4 linked regions of the Canis lupus familiaris genome follow. The protein of the gene in region 4 binds, or shares a complex with, the protein of the main gene of each other region. Links are inferred from orthologs where the notes say so. Each region holds a gene or a part of one and is shown on either strand. Other genes may lie near its edges.

Region 1 (4,293 bases), on a different chromosome or scaffold from region 4:
CTGGGCTAGTGTGAGCAGCTATTCTGCATGGGTGCAGATGGCTGGTATGTGAAAGAGACATGCTCTAACTGCAGAGACAGATGGCAGATTTGAAGTGCCATGGAATGCTGCCAACAGGTGCTGAGATGGTTGCTTTGAGCAAGGCTCTAGGAAGGTTGCCCCAGGCTGGGACCATTGAGATAAGAAGTCAGATACGTGGCCTTCCATTGTGGCTTCTGAACCAGATTCTGGGAAATTTGTCCACAACCTGCCCTTGGCTTGTCCAGGGAGTATTGGGAGATAGCAAGGAAGGGGCAAATGGCTGCCTTCTCCTTTTGAGGACAGAGATGCTATCCTAAGGGCATAGGAGTGCTCATGGTTGTGGCATCTCTAGCTCAACTGCTGTTAGTAGAGTGAGGCTGTCTGTTTAGTAATTTTGAATGTTGAATTTAATAGGTGACTTGACAAGATGGTCTAATCTTTTGAGATTTTGGAGACCATTTCCTGTGCCAGAATTACTGCTCGACTATGTTCCATGTTGTCCTATGGAGGTGGCTGTTCTAGAAATGATTGGATAATAAATAAAATACTAAATGTAGTAGTTTGAGTGATTTGTTATCAAGAGATTGGTTTGCATAGGCCATAGAAAACCCTCAAGTGTACACTGCACAATTCTGAGAACTAGGAGCAACCTCCCTGGGGTGATGCTTCTGGATTCAGTGAAGGAAACAGTCAGTTTTCCAGTGCCCCCACTCCACCCCCCATCAACTTGGAAATACAGTCACGTCTAAATGAACATAGTGAGATGCATGCCAGAGTTCACCCTACAGCGTTGCTGATGACTGGCCTTTCCAAGTCCCATCATGTTGATTAAATTGTGCCCTATTGATTGAATGATTATAAAGTTCCTCAGTTGAAAGAAAAATGATTTAACCGAATGATGATAGCATTGCTTCAAAATAAAGAGTGTGCAAAAATTGCTTTCTATATATGCGCTGGAAAGGCTGCAACTTAGAGACACTGGGTGTCGCGGGCCATATCTTTAGTGCATACAGGTAAATAGGGCAGCTAGAGGCTCCTAATAATTCCTTCAGCCTTAAAAATTAGAAACTTGGCAAACGGATGCACAGTTGCTTAAGACTAGATCAAAGGGCCCTGATCCAAATTGCTTCCTTGTTTATAAAATAGACCAGTTGAATTAAATCAGATGATTGTTTAGAAAACCAAGGCAAAAGACATTAGTACGCGCCCTTACTTCCGTATTGCTTCATGCTCTCCATGCGCATGCACCATTTCCGTGGGTCAGAGGAGGGGCCGACGACCCTGTTTTAGAAGTCCTTAGCTCGTTTAGAACGCGAAACTCTAAGCTTATTGGAGGGCAAGCTTGCTTTACGGCTCAGGGCCGCTTTTTACGTCATTTTCCGGCTTCCCATTCACTTCGCAGTGAAGATGGCGTCGGGCAGCGGGGTAGGTGTTGTGTGTGAGGAGGCTTTGGTCGGGGGGCAGAGGGTGCCTTCGTAGCGCGGAATATCCTGCACCCAACTGGCTTCTCGACACCTCCTTGCGGCCCAATGGTCCGAGTTCAAGAGCCTCCTCGTAGGGTCCTGGCACAGGGTCTGTGGAATCGCGGAGAACTCTTGGGTTGGGGTCCTGAGGCCACCTCAGCCTTCTGGTGCGGTGTGGAGAGTCTTCGCTCTCGACAGGTCCGGGGGGTCGCCTTGCCGGCGTGGACGCGGTTCCCTCCGTTTCTCTAGGGTTCCGATATGATTAGCGACGAATCTTGAGCGCTTTTTTCCCTACAGACAAAAAACTTGGACTTTCGCCGAAAGTGGGACAAAGATGAATATGAGAAGCTCGCCGAGAAGAGGCTCACGGAAGAGAGAGAAAAGAAGGATGGTGGGTGCCTACTCCCTAAAGGGCAGAGGTATCGTAGAGGTGAAGCCATAGCTGGAGAGCGGGTGGGGAGTTGAAATGCGATGTCCTGGTTGGTACCTTGTGTAACCTCTGGCTGAATGTTGCCTCCCTGGTTCTCCATTTCTTACTGTATAAAATGGGAGGAAAGAGATGGACTGAATATACTCAGAGGTATTTCCCAGCTCTGTTTCCTGTGCTTTCTTGCCTTCTTTTTGCTTAGCTCGTTTTGTACTTTCTTCAAGTGCAGAGAAGAGAGGAGAAGCCTTAGTAGTGACAGAGATGTGGAGTATTTTGCTGCTATGCACTACTCCTATTGAGGAAACTCTTTCCGTTGAAGTCACTTAAGGGGAAGAATATAACTGGTCCAATCAAGTCCTTCCCCTGTGGTCTGAGAAGAGTGAGGGTACTGGGAGGAATGTGTGATTGTTTCAGCTGGTGGTTAGTAGTACTGTTTCTCTGCTTTGTACAATGTTACGGAGTTGATTCTCCTCTCCTAGTTAGAGAATCCATTATACAAAAAGAATCCTTATTTTTTCTTATGCTTTCACTTTACTTTCACACCACCTTGCACAAACTGATCTTTTTAGTTTTGATCTAATTTGTACAGTAGCAAGTAACAGATATTGCCTGAATGTTGGTCCCATTTAGAAAATCTTCCCCAGCCTTCTAGAGATTCTTTTTTGTGTGTTACACTTGGGGTATCTGTCTGAAAGTATTACTGAGTGTCCTTGCTTTTCTTTTAAAAGTTTACTCTTTGTGAAAATTAATTCCTTTCTTCAATTCAGTTAACAATAAAAAACTTTGTTTTTAGACTTATTGGCTTTGAAGTGGAAAAAAGCTATGTAGAGTTTAGGGATTGCATATCATTTTTTCCTGTGTTGAGATTCTCCCTAGTTGCTGCTACAAGTGCTTTTTGTGCCCCCTGCTTCAGGCTTAAGAAAGAAATGAAGAGTAGACATCTGTGTATTGGGTTTCATGCATTTCTTTTCGTTTCTGCTTAAGGAACTCTAATAATAAAAGGACTTTCTTCTGTCTTATATTTTAGGAAAACCAGTACAGCCAGTCAAACGGGAGCTTCTCCGGCATAGGGACTATAAAGTGGACCTGGAATCCAAGCTTGGGAAGACAATTGTCATTACCAAGACCACGCCACAATCTGAGATGGGAGGGTGAGTGACTTTTCATCTTTTTCAGGAGCCAAGACTAGGTCTAATAAACTGTGTTGATTTTAGCAAGTGTCGAGGAGAGGTTCTCTGGCTCCAGGATAGCAATCATGTTACTTATAATTCTATCTTTATTTTTATTTATTTTTTTAATAGTCCTACCTTTAGATATTTCTTTGTGTCACTCCTGTTCCAGGCCTCAACTAAACATGGTAGTGTCTCTAGGAGGAGTTACTCTGTAGACCTCTTCATATTGGCACTGTAACTCTTTCTTAATATCTGAAGAGGAAGAAATGAAGGAAAGGACTCCTGAAAACATTTCTAGGGGAGAGATTTCTCGAGCTAGAATGGAGCCTAGAAGCTGTTGATGGTGAATAAAGGGAGTTGAGGTTCCAGACTGGCTGCAAAGGTTGTAGTTGTTACGGATTGCTTGGTTGTACACTTTCCTCCTAGACCAAGACTATGACCCATGAGAAGAGGTGTCCTGTAAGGACTTTTGTTTTTGCCCACCACTACTACAGTATTCATTTACGTTTTCTAGCAGGAGAGCAAAACAGATAGCAATGAGTGACATGTCTGAATTGCTTAGAAAACTTACATCAGGGATCCCTGGGTGGCTCAGTGGTTTGGCGCCTGCCTTTGGCCCAGGGCATGATCTTGGGGTCCTAGGATCAGGTCCCATGTCGGGTTCCCTGCATGGAGCCTCCTTCTCCCTCTGCCTGTGTCTGCCCCTCTCTCCCCCCCTCCCTGTTTCTCATAAATAAATAAATAAAATCTTAAAAAAAAAAAACACCTCACATCATTCTTTTCTGTATTAGTTACCTATTCCTGTGTAAATTAACTAACTCACCAAAATTTAGCAGCATAAAACAGATAGCTAACAATTTGGGTAAGTAATCTGGAAAGGCTTAGGGTTTCACAAAGCTGCAATGAAGGTGTCTGCTGGGTCTGCATTCATATGAGGCTTAAGTGGGGCTGAATGATTTGATTGAAAGCTCTTTCATGTAGTGCTTTGGAGGCCTCACTTCTTTGCCCCATGGGCCTCTAGTGCTGTTGACAATAAAGCAAGTGGCTTCCCAAGAGTAAGACATGGACAGGCTATTTATTTATTTATTTTAATTTTAATTTTTGTATTTTTTTTTAATTGGAGTTCGATTTGCCAACATATAGTATAACACCCAGTGCTCATCCCGTCAAGTGTCCCCCATAATGCTCGTCACTCAGTCACACCAACTGC
Region 2 (3,649 bases), on a different chromosome or scaffold from region 4:
AGGACTTGGATCACTTACCTCCATGGTGGGGCAATCTGCTTTGCTGCGGATCAGTGTGGTGGGGATATCCGTGTCAGCATACTCATCATCCAGGTCTACCACATAGGCCATGCGGCCTGGGAGGAACAGCTCATTCCGTTCATACGCCTTGCTCCTAAAGAGTGTGCGGTAAACATTGCGGCCTATGAAAAGAAGAGGAGGAAGCATAGCCACTGAGAAACTTCTACAACAGCTGCCATTTAGCAAGTGCTTACTCTGTGCCACATACTATTGCCTCAATTTTCACAAGAGCCCTGTAAGGTACATGTTATCATCTCCTTTTAAATGATCAGAATACTCAAGCTGAGAGTGAAGCAATTTACCTAAATTCACACAACTACTAAGCAACGGAATAAAGAATAGGGCCCAGCCTGTCTAACTCCAAAGCCTGAGCTCCTATCCACTCTTTTACATTGCCTTCTCAAAAGTACCATGGGCCTCACATTGTATTAGGTCCCATGAGGAAGAAGGATGAGGCTTAAGGGGATACTGACAATGATGGGAAAATCAGCTCAGCTACATGTGCAACATAATTACAATGCATATACTGTTTTTTGTTGCTGCCATGAGGTGAATTAACTCCATTTTTGCAGATAGACAAACAGGCACTGAGACTTGTGAAGTCAGTTGCCTAATATCACATGCCTCATATGGTTTTATCAGTAGGATTCAAACCCCAGTCTTTGACTGTAAATTCTGAGCTTTTATTTATTTTTCTAAAGATTTTCTTTATTGGGATGCCTGGGTGGCTCAGCGGTTGAGCATCTGCCTTTGGCTCAGTGCGTGATCCCGGAGGCCCCTGGATCAAGTCCCACATCAGGCTCCCTGTGAGAAGCCTGCTTCTCCTTCTCCCTCTGCCTATGTCTCTGCCTCTCCTCTCTATCTGTCTCTCATGAATAATCTTTTAAATCTTTTTTAAAGATTTTCTTTATTTATTCATGAGAGACACAGAGAAAGGCAGAGACACAGGCAGAAGGATAAGCAGGCTCCCTGAAAGGAGCCCGATGTGGGATTCGATCCTGGATCCTGGGATCACGCCCTGAGCCAAAGGCAGACGCTCAACCACTGAGCCACCCAGGTGTCCCAAATTCTGAGCTTTTAATCACCAACCACGCTAGCTCTTCTAATGCATAAGCTGTAAGCTACCTCCCTTAATGCATAAGCTACAATCTGCAAGACCTTCCAACCTAATTAAGACATTAATAACATACACGAAATGACTAACCCCACATCTGAGTTCTAGTAGAGTATTCTAAGAGAAGTCACTAATCTGGGGGCAAGAAAGAGAACAGTATGACACGAAGGGGAAGCATATTCTGCCCAGAGCATTAAATTCCCTATAATTTACCTAAAATGCACAACCTCTAGTGTAGAAATTCTATACTCACCCAAGCGCGTCTTAAATTCAATTTTATTCTCAGGATCTTCATCTTTCCTGAAAAGACAAAAGAATTTTCCTTTTAGCCAAATGTGTTCCTACTTTAAGTCCCACTCACCTAAACTTAGAAGCTTTCCCTGATGTTTACACACTTAGTTTCCTTCTGAGGCTTTTCCATAAGTTCTTCCTCTTCTTTCTCTTTGCTGGCAATCTCAGCTCGTACCTAACAGGAAAAAAGCATGTAGGGTTTAGACATTTATTCATTTTACAAACATTTACCTAACACCACTATCTACCACATTGTGCCAGAAACCAAGGACTTAAAACTGAACAAGACAATACAGTCCTTGCCCTAATGGAGCTTACAGCAGAAGAGACAAATGAAAAAATGTGATAACTGTGATATGTGAAATAAGAGAGATATGGAGGGTACAGGAAGTGGGAAGTGAGGAGTGGGGTTTAACCATACTTGGGTGATCAGGGATGGCTGCCCCCCCAAAAATACAACCCTTGAGGCTGAGACTTGAAGGATGAGTAGCACTTAGTCCTACATAGGAGGAACCATTAGCCCTTCTCTATGGTGTGGGCTAACAGTCTCCCCTCCTTCACCTTGAAAGGCCCACAGAAGAGCATTCAGCATTCTATGATTACTCTCCACCCACCCACCAAGGATCACCTTTTGAAGCAGAGCAAAATCCAACCCTTTCACCAAATGAGTATGTTCCATGTCACCACCCAAGAACTTGGACTCCTGGATCAACTGTCTTCTCTTCTCTGCAGCTGACTTGTCCCTGTATAATGAAAGAAGCCACATTAAAACAGTCCTTTGTGAGTGCCTCTCACAAAGTGCCTTTCAAGTGTCTCTCTTGAAATGGCCCAGCTCGGGCTCCAAAGTGGGGAAAGCTCATTTTTCATTAGGAAGAATTCACACTGTGACTTTAAGACTCTGGAGGCTGAGGGAATCATGCCCTGGCAGCCTGGGTACTCACGCTTCAGCAGTGGGGCCCACAGCCCTGTAGTTAGCTGTGGTACTGATCAGCTCCGTTTCCTCATAATCTTTGTTCACACCATCTCGCCGTTCCTTGGCACGGTCACGATATTTCTCTGCTAGCTCTCTCTCTCTCTCAATTTCTTGTTGACGAAGCTTGGCATAATAACTGTGACCATGGAAAAGCAAATGCATAAGGCTCACCAGCTGCTATCCCAAGGTCAGTAGAATTCTTCCTATTTCATCCAACTGTCTGGTGAAAGCTCATATATGTCCTGATAGTACTGCTGTCACCCTCGGATAATCCTCAAAATCAGAACTATGGCTTCATCCAGTTCAGAGAGATACTCTTTCAATGCTGCCTCAGGACATTCCATGTCACTTCAGAATTCTTTAATGCCGTATCACTGAGTCTCTAACAGGTTATGAGACTTTTCCATAGGACAACTAAGAAGTTATCTAAATTTATATCACCTTCCATATTTCAACTAAAAATAAGTCATTCCTTGCTGGTCTTCCCCAAAAAGAAAGGCCAGCAAAATACCAGGTCCAGGAATTTTAGTATCTTATAGATAATGATGATAATGATGGTGGTGACAACAGCAGATAGGATTTATTGGGTAATTAAAATATCCCAGGCACTAAATGCTTACATGCACTATCATAATTGATCCTCTTGACAACCAGATGAAAGTTACGAAATCACTCTCTGTTCTACCCATTAGAATATCAAGAATTAGAAATATTAGGGACTATGCCCACAGTTATCTTTTGTCTTTTCAGGAACTGGTAAAGTTGAGACTGAAATCCTGCAGTCTGACTCCAAAGTCCTAAATTCCCACTTATCACTCCTATCCACTAGAGAACCTCAAGACAATACAGAAAAATCTTAATCTCTAGCCTCATAACTACTAGCCCCTATGCCTTTCACTCAAACACTATCCAATCTATAGCCCAACATTCCTCTATCTTTCCTTCACCTCTTCTTTTTTCTCCTTCGTGCAGCTGGGTCTTCATCCTCATTGTACTCCCTTGGCATCCTAGAAGACAGAGAAATTCACTAATGGCAAAATATTGCCAGAGCCCCAGAAAACCCCAACAAGTGGCCTTGAAGAATGAAGAAAGGCCTAGATTATGGAACAAAGCAACAGCTTCAACCATGCAGAGATCCAGGTCTACATTTGTAGGTGAGTGGTCCTAAGCTTTAGAAAGTATCACAACCACCTGAAGTATCTGAGTCTACA
Region 3 (3,649 bases), on a different chromosome or scaffold from region 4:
TTCTGTCAATGTTTCCTCCTGTCTCCCTAGCTAGATCTGAAGTTCTGTAACCAGCATATTTACCTTGTTCTCACATTTTCGGAGTAATTTCTTCTTCCCCAGGTCATAAACTCGCAGAAGCTTCCCCACACCAATCAATACTCTCCCTTGGAATGGGGCAATGGCAGCAGGGACCTCTTCCACTGGAGTCTGTGAGGAAAAAAAAGCAGGTAATGTAGCTATTAGGACACCAGCCATAGGCTAGCCCCACCCTCTCAACCAAAAATGTTTTTACAAGAAACAGTGAGTGATCACCTTTGGCTCATCAGAGAAATAAACCACACATACAACAGTCTCTAGGAAATGGGGTGGTTGCGTAAACAGGTCCCACACACTGCAAATCACTTAGCAAATGGATCAATGTCACAAGTCAAAGGAGCCTAATGAATGTGGTCTTAGAGCCTGTGTTAATTCAACTGGTGCCACTAACAGTGAAGCCTCAATATCAAAAAAGTGACTGCTGGTTGTGGAGGGATGGGAAAGGAGTGACAAGTGACTTCTTAGTTTTAAGGGAGATACAATGAGTTTAACACAAAAAAAAGTCCACAAGTAGTTATTTTGTAGGGGACACTTCCCTGTGCTTCAAAGGGCTAGAGGAACTACATGCATTTGTTGTCCATGTGGAAGAACAGGAAAATTTTTCCCTTATTTTTAAAACTGCGATAAAATACACATAAAATTTTCCATTTTTAAGTATACAATTCAATAACATCAAACATTTTCACTGTTGTGCAACCACCACCACCATCCCCAGAACTTTATTTTTCCAAAGGGAAACTATCCATTAAAGGCATTTCTCCAGAGATTATTAATTATTTAGATCTACTAGATTTTGGTCACAAATTGCTGTCTGCTTAGTAAAAGCAATAAACAAGGGGCCAATTCGGTGTGTATCTAAGTCATCATTGTGGATGGTTAGAACACAGGCTTCCTGTGGACCCCCGGGCAGTGGAGCTTCACTGGAGCATGAAAGCCAGAGCGTTTCTGTGTCCCACCAAGAGACGGAACATAATCAATGAGCTGGCTCCCAAAATGGTCACCAAAAGACCTGACCCACAACTTAAGCAAAAGTGGGAGACTTCAGTTGGACCAGAGACACAGGAGTACCACTGGCTGGTTCCTACCTTGTGCAAAAACTCCAGTTTTTCCCCATTGTTCACGAGCTTGTAGGTATAGACAAAGCCCCCTGCCACAGACCTGGGGTTGAGGATCAGGTCTTTGGCCACACCCACCAAGACATACCAATCATCACCAGTGTTAGAAAACCTACACACAGCCACACTGCAAAAAAGAGAAAGAAGCAGGAGTCAGGCATTAGTTATAATATAAAGTATTCTCATTCCAGCTCCCAAAACCTTGGACATCCTGTGCTCCTTACCTAAAAGCAGCCTCATTCTGTTCTAGCTGGACAAGGTCCAGCGTGTTCCCTTGAATAGGATTCATCACTCGGATCACAGAAGCCCACTGTCCATTGCCAGCCTTAGGAGCTCCAAAAATGGACTCAGGGAGGTTTTCATTGAGGAATGCTGCTGCCATTTCAGCAGCAAGCTCCCGCTCATCTTCTCCTGCTGCTTCTACCATTTCCTAAAATCAATCAATCAATCACAAAAACACAAAACAAACACACAAAACAGGGAAGATGGGACACCTGGGTGGCTCAGCGGCTGAGGGTCTGCCATGGGCTCAGGATGTGATCCCGGGGTCCAAGGATCAAGTCCTGCATCAGGCTCCCTGAGAGGAGCCTGCATCTCCCTCTGCCTAGATCTCTGCCTCTCTCTATCTCTCACGAATAAATAAATAAAACCTTAAAAAAAAAAAAAAAAAAAAAGGAAGAGTCGGTATATTCAGAGGTAGGTAGTGGGTGAGAAGTGGACAAATATACAACACCTCCAGGGGGAATTCATATCATGTAAGTAGCCAAGTCTGTAGGCCAAAAACAAATCTCCTATAAAGTAAAGATTAAAGGGAGAGGTATACAGATAAGGGGAAGAGGGAAAACCACTAAAGGGGAAACCAGGTACTTCATTTTTTAATGCCTAAAAAAACCCTAACATCAACTACGGCAAATACCTGAGTGGTCTGAGATACATAAAATGAAAACACCACTTTTCTACCTATCGCATCTGATTTCCCTTGCTACAAATCCTTGTCTCATCTCTTCCAAGCCAGACACAGCTTTACATGGTTGGAGCTATTTGTTTTTTTGCTAGGAGATGATTTCTGGAAAGAACTAGTGTTACGGAGAAAATGAAATCTGTCTCCTTTGGGCCTGAATCCAGGAAACACATACATAAACTGTTTGGGAAGCTCAAGGACTGAAGAACTCTGTTTCAAAAGGAAAGCTGAATACTGAATAAACCCAGGTCAGTGTATTAGTCCTGAGTCACAAGATAATCTCTAAAAACAAGGATTCAGGCAAAGGGGTCTGCTTAAAGGACCGGACAAAAGCCTGGGTCTTTTTTTTTTTAACATTTTATTTATTCATGAGAGAGAGAGAGAGAGAGAGAGAGAGAGAGAGAGAGGAGGCAGAGACAGAAACAGGTTCCTCACAGGGAGCCTGATGTGGGACTCGATCACCAGACCCCGAGATCACACTCTGAGCAAAGGCAAAACACTCAACCTCTGAGTCACCCAGGCATCCCAGCCTGGGTCTTTTTTAATCTAACAGAATATAATCAACAATTACACGAGTTTAAACTTTTCAACAAAATTTCACATGAATGCTTTTTAGCTGAACCTTGAAGGCCAGTCTCATTACATTACCTCTGCCATCTGCTGCTTCCTCTGAGCCTTTGTCGCTTCAGTATAGGCATTGTGGTCTGTCTCAATTATGATAAGGTTGTTGCTCTCAGGGTGAATGACAAATTTCCTGGGTGTGTACTGCAGTGGAAAGGCTACTTGATTGAAGACAGCACCTAGCTTCTCCAACGCTAAAATCCTATTGTGCAAAAGGCAGGGAATTAATAGATCACTCAGGGTCTAGAAACTCAGGTAAAAGTATAAAACCAGTCACACAAATGCATCAATCTCTAAAGCTCTCATGTTAGCATAAATTAACATCAAATACCAGCCTTCTAACCTAGAAGATTCTGCACAGAAAACAAGGAAATCCTAGAAGGGCCTTCTACTTCAGCAACAGCAATTCTGGTTTTCTTTTCCTTTTTTTTTTTTTGCAATTCTGGTTTTCACTAGTGAAATTTTTTTTTTTGTCACTCCAGTGATAACGCGACAGTAAAGAGTTAAAACTTCCTCTTATTATTGACAAACTCTGAAAAAAAGAACATCAATTCCAAATTCATTCTAAATTACTGAAACTGCCTCAACATGTAGTATTTGTGCTGTGTTTCCTAAAATAAAGTGGGTGCTCTCCTGAACAAAAATCACCTAAAACAGGAAACCTGCAACCATACAAAAAGAGATGGTGAGTAGGGGACCTACAACCTTTGTCAAATGAGACCAAGAGATGTGCCTAAGCCAAACTATGTCCAAAATAAGCAGAACCTAAGTACTCTTAAAAATATAGTCACTTGGGGCACACCTGGGTGGCTCAGTCTATCGAGCATCCAACTCTTAATTCTGGCTCTGGTCATGATCTTGGGGTCCTGGGATG
Region 4 (4,364 bases):
GAACCTTAATGTAAACTATGGACTTTGGGTGATTATGATGTGTTAATGTAGGTTTATCAACTGCAACAAATGTATTACTCTGGTGGAGGATGTTGATAATGGAGGAGGCTATGCATGTGTCAGAGCAGAGGGTATATGGGAAATGTAAACATAAAATTGATATAAAAAAATAAAAGTCTTGGGGTGCCCAGGTGGCTTAGTTGGTCAAGCATCTGCCTTTGGCTCAGGTCATGACCTCTGGGTTCTGGGATGGAGCCCCACATTGAGCTCCCTGCTGGTCACTGCAAGAGAAGCCTGCTTCTCCTTTTTCCTCTGCTCCCTACCCTCCATGTTCTCTTACTCTCATAAATAAATAAATAAATAAATAAATAAATAAAATTTTAATAACAGTAAAGTCTTAAAAAAAAAGAAGGTAGTGAGGTGGAGGAGGGTTTCTATATCAGATTGCAAGGCTTAGTTTAAACTTACAGTGATTAAAACAATATATTAATGACTCCGGGGTATATAGAGACCAATGGAACAGAGTACAGAGCAAACAAACCTTTACACAGGAGCTTGGTATGTTACAGAAGTGACATTAAAAAGCAGTGGAGAATGGATGGGTTAGTCAAACAATGGAATTGTAAGGACAACTGGTTAACCATAAACAAAATTAGATTTCTGACACCACACCCACAAAAAATTCCACATGGATTAAGGACCCACGTGTGAAAAAAAAATCTTAAAACACTTACATCCTTCCTAGATTACAAGTTCCTTAAATTAGAATCTGTCTTGCGCAATTTTGTATTCAATCGTATTTAGGATATAGAAACACTGAGAAAATATTTATAATTGATCTCAGTATAGGGAAGGATTTCTTAACACAATATACAAAACAACACAAGAGGGACGCCTGGGTGGCTCAGTGGTTGAGCGTCTGCCTTTGGCCCAGGGCGTGATCCTGGAGACCCGGGATCGAGACCCACATCAGGCTCCCTACATGGAGCCTGCTTCTCCCTCTGCCTGTGTCTGTCTCTGCCTCTCTCTCTCTGTGTCTCTCATGAATAAATAAATAAAATCTTAAAAAAAAAAAAAAACACAAGCTATAAAAGATAAAATTGATAAATCCAAAAACACTAAAATTAAAAAGGCCTATGAAACAGAAAACTCCACAATTAAAGTGAAAAGACAAGACAAAGAACCAAAACAAAATAGGAAAAAGATATGAGAGATCTGGGATGTAGAAAAACTGTAGAAAATGGATAAATGACAGAAACAGCTAATTCTGAGAACACCTAGATAGCTGACAAATGCTTAGTCTCACTAGTAATCAGGGAAATGCAAATTAAAATAATGAGATATTTCATAATTCGATTGGACAAAATTTAAAAATCTGATACAACTAAGTGTGTGGATGAATATATGGGTAAATACAAACTCCTAATGCTCTTACAACCCACTGTGGAGAGCAACTGGAAATAGCTAGTTAGGTTGATGATGAACTTTTAGGAGTCTACCCTAGAGAAATTCTTACACAGTGCACTAAAGAGGCACATTTAAGAATGACAACTACAACAGGTGCCTGGTTAGCTCAGTTGGTGGAGCACATGACTCTTGATCTTGGGGTCATGAGTTTGATCCCCAAGGTGGGTGTCAAGATTACTTTAAAAAAAAAAAAAGGCCAATTACAGCACTGTTTATAATAGAAAAAACAACACAACTGTCCCCCAGGAAGGAATAAACTGGTTCATTTATACAATGGAATTTATAAGTAGTTGAATGAATTAGCTCTTTATATATCAAAGGATATTTCTCAAAAGCCACCTTGAATTTTAAAAAAAGGCAAGTTGCACAAGATTATGTACTGTTATGTTTAAAAAATAAAAAAAGAGCTCATATTATTTTCCAAAATCCTTCCTGAAAAAAAGGGACTCTTTAGTCTAACCCCTTCCAAACATGTTCCTTCTATCTGCACTGGAATTCTATTGATCCTTTAAGGATCGGTTTATATGCCATGTTCTTCAAGAAGCTTTCCTAGATTACCTCAATCTGAAAAGATCATTCCTTCTCTACACTTCCATATCGTTTGGTTTATATCACCTATGTGACAGGAATCACACTGCTTAGAATGTCTCTTTTTGCAGGTCTCACACCTACAAAATGAGTTTCTTTAGGTTAATTAAGGGCACTGCCTCACACAAGTGTGTATTCAACTTCATACAGTCACAGCGTTGGTTGAAAGGAATAAAAAGTTTAATAAGACACGGTTCCTGTCTCAAGGACGTTTGAGTTTATGATGCAGTAGAGGGAGACAGACACAGAAGAGTTACAGAAGCGGCACAGACTGCTACGGAAAACAAAAGAGGGACCGTATTCCGCACAACGCCTTGCAAAAGCAGGCATTTACTGTGTATACAGTCTAACTTAACAGTGGAGGCCAAAGGACGAGGGATGCTTGCTGTGAGAGCAGCCGCCGGGCGATATGGACAAGATGAGATGGAAGTGGGTATTTTCCCCCTTAGGCAACGCGACCGGGTGCGAGTTTGATGGGAAAAGTCGAGGATATTTGGGGGCAGCGTCTTAAGGGTCGGTAGGGTTGGGGTGGTCTGTTGCGGTAGGTTTGCAGTACGCTGGGAAAGGAAGAGGTAAAATCCGACTGGAAACCGGCTCAGCACCGTACCTTTCTCATTGCGAACCGGGACGGCCCCTGCCGTAGACTGAATGGGCGGTTGTTTCATGAGTGCGCTTGGGACCGACATGTTGATGGCAGCCGCAGCGATTCCCGAAACTTCAGTGATTCCAAACAGTGAACCGCAACAACGTCAACGACAAAAAAAAACCTCCTCTGGAAGCACTGGGCACGACCGCGCAACAGATAGAAACACCACCTACGTCTGAGATAGAAAAACCGGAAATATGCGACCAGAGGATTGTGGGATTGTGGGCGTGGACGCTGCTACTGCGCATGTTCCTCGGCTGCTCTAGCTTCCTCCGTCTCGCAGAGTTTGGACGTCGCTTCTGGCGGGAAATTGCTTCCCGTTGGCCTTTGCTGTTAAGATCCTGTGGCGAGGCAGGTCCGAATTACGGGTTTCTTTTGTTAGCTTTGTGTGAAGCTGAGGAAAATGAGATAGTGATGAATAAGGAATTGAGTGGATAGAGAAAGGCAGTTTGTCCAGACTCTTGAAAGCTCAGAATTGGAGTTTAATGAGAAGAGAAGTCCTGATAATAGCCCCTGATTAGCTCAGTTGATGAGGCTGAGTGGGTTGTGGTGAGGTATTTTTTTTCCTCACGTGAGGGCAGGTGTTGATGATTTACGCTATTGCCATGAAAAAAAGAAAAAAATCCCGTAAGGTGCCTGAAACAATGAATGCTTGGAGTCAGAACGGTGTGCTTTTAGGCTTTCCAGTTTTTTTCAGTTTCTCAACACCGTCTATTAAAACATTCCTGTGTAGACATGACTTTTTACATAAGTACATGAGTAATTATTAAGTACTTGCTGAGTTTGCTGTGCTTAGCTCTTTAAGGAGTATAGAATATTGCTTAAAGGCTTGAATTTTATTTAGGAAGTCTTCTAGGGCAATCAATTTACTAGCTGGATTTGTAAAAAAAAAAAAAATATATATATATATATATATATATATATATATTGGTTTATTGGAAGTCAGAAAGCATTTCACCACAGAAAGGATTTCCTAAGTGTTGTGATAGGGAGAGTTGGGGCAGCATGAACAAAGTCTTGAGGTCTACAAATAGCGCGGCATGTATCAAACACTGAAAAGTTTGATTTTGTTTGATTTTTGAGTCAAGGAGTGGTGAAAGTTTGGTGAGAACCAGATCATGGAGGGCCCTGATGTTACTGTTAATAGGATTAGTTCTCAAATCATTTCACCTATGTTGTAAAATTGGGTCTAGACTGGGAAAGAAAAGAAAATGGGGCAAGTCTTGAGCAAGGAACAGTGAAGGATCCATGTAACTGACCAAGGAAGCAGTTATGGGGTAGAAAGAAAAGGGTCTTAAAAATAGACTAGGTAGAAATTTATATTTTGAATTTAACAGCTCCAAAACCATGCTGTCCAGATGGAGTAAATATGAGAAAACGATTGTTTTGACTCACAGCAACTCAAAGAATAGGAAAAAAAAAAGTTAAATATGGCTGTGACTGTAAGAAATACAGGACACTAAAATCTTATTTGTTACTTTGTGACACAAGGATTCGATTCACAACTTTTTCTGGCCTTTGGGCCTTGTAAGGTCATCACTAGGCTCTTAGTTAACTGGTGGGCAGATAAATAGGTGAAATTTAAACCAGCTTATAAGCTCTTGAAAAAAATCAAAATGCTTCCCTTCCTAGGAAGAAGGTAATATGATAGCCACAGGGCATG

Evidence for each region.
Region 1: MFAP1 (region 4) and ZMAT2 share a complex: the UniProt entries of both Homo sapiens proteins name them as parts of the spliceosome B complex. The link is inferred for Canis lupus familiaris from reciprocal best matches to the Homo sapiens genes MFAP1 and ZMAT2.
Region 2: MFAP1 (region 4) and IK share a complex: the UniProt entries of both Homo sapiens proteins name them as parts of the spliceosome B complex. The link is inferred for Canis lupus familiaris from reciprocal best matches to the Homo sapiens genes MFAP1 and IK.
Region 3: MFAP1 (region 4) and SF3B3 share a complex: the UniProt entries of both Homo sapiens proteins name them as parts of the spliceosome B complex. The link is inferred for Canis lupus familiaris from reciprocal best matches to the Homo sapiens genes MFAP1 and SF3B3.

Annotation. Positions count from the first base shown.
Region 1 is NC_049223.1:34,979,129-34,983,421, forward strand, and holds the start of ZMAT2 (zinc finger matrin-type protein 2), read left to right. Parts: upstream 1-1,382; 5' UTR 1,383-1,428; coding exon 1,429-1,446; intron 1,447-1,781; coding exon 1,782-1,875; intron 1,876-2,938; coding exon 2,939-3,062; intron 3,063-4,293. UniProt on the Homo sapiens protein: Involved in pre-mRNA splicing as a component of the spliceosome.
Region 2 is NC_049223.1:34,937,081-34,940,729, reverse strand, and holds part of IK (protein Red), read right to left. Parts: intron 3,446-3,649; coding exon 3,386-3,445; intron 2,575-3,385; coding exon 2,407-2,574; intron 2,209-2,406; coding exon 2,094-2,208; intron 1,641-2,093; coding exon 1,570-1,640; intron 1,475-1,569; coding exon 1,428-1,474; intron 183-1,427; coding exon 19-182; intron 1-18. UniProt on the Homo sapiens protein: Involved in pre-mRNA splicing as a component of the spliceosome. Auxiliary spliceosomal protein that regulates selection of alternative splice sites in a small set of target pre-mRNA species. Required for normal mitotic cell cycle progression.
Region 3 is NC_049226.1:77,109,258-77,112,906, reverse strand, and holds part of SF3B3 (splicing factor 3B subunit 3), read right to left. Parts: intron 2,978-3,649; coding exon 2,803-2,977; intron 1,624-2,802; coding exon 1,418-1,623; intron 1,321-1,417; coding exon 1,164-1,320; intron 190-1,163; coding exon 64-189; intron 1-63. UniProt on the Homo sapiens protein: Component of the 17S U2 SnRNP complex of the spliceosome, a large ribonucleoprotein complex that removes introns from transcribed pre-mRNAs.
Region 4 is NC_049251.1:10,843,926-10,848,289, forward strand, and holds the start of MFAP1 (microfibrillar-associated protein 1), read right to left. Parts: upstream 2,906-4,364; 5' UTR 2,742-2,905; coding exon 2,663-2,741; intron 1-2,662. UniProt on the Homo sapiens protein: Involved in pre-mRNA splicing as a component of the spliceosome.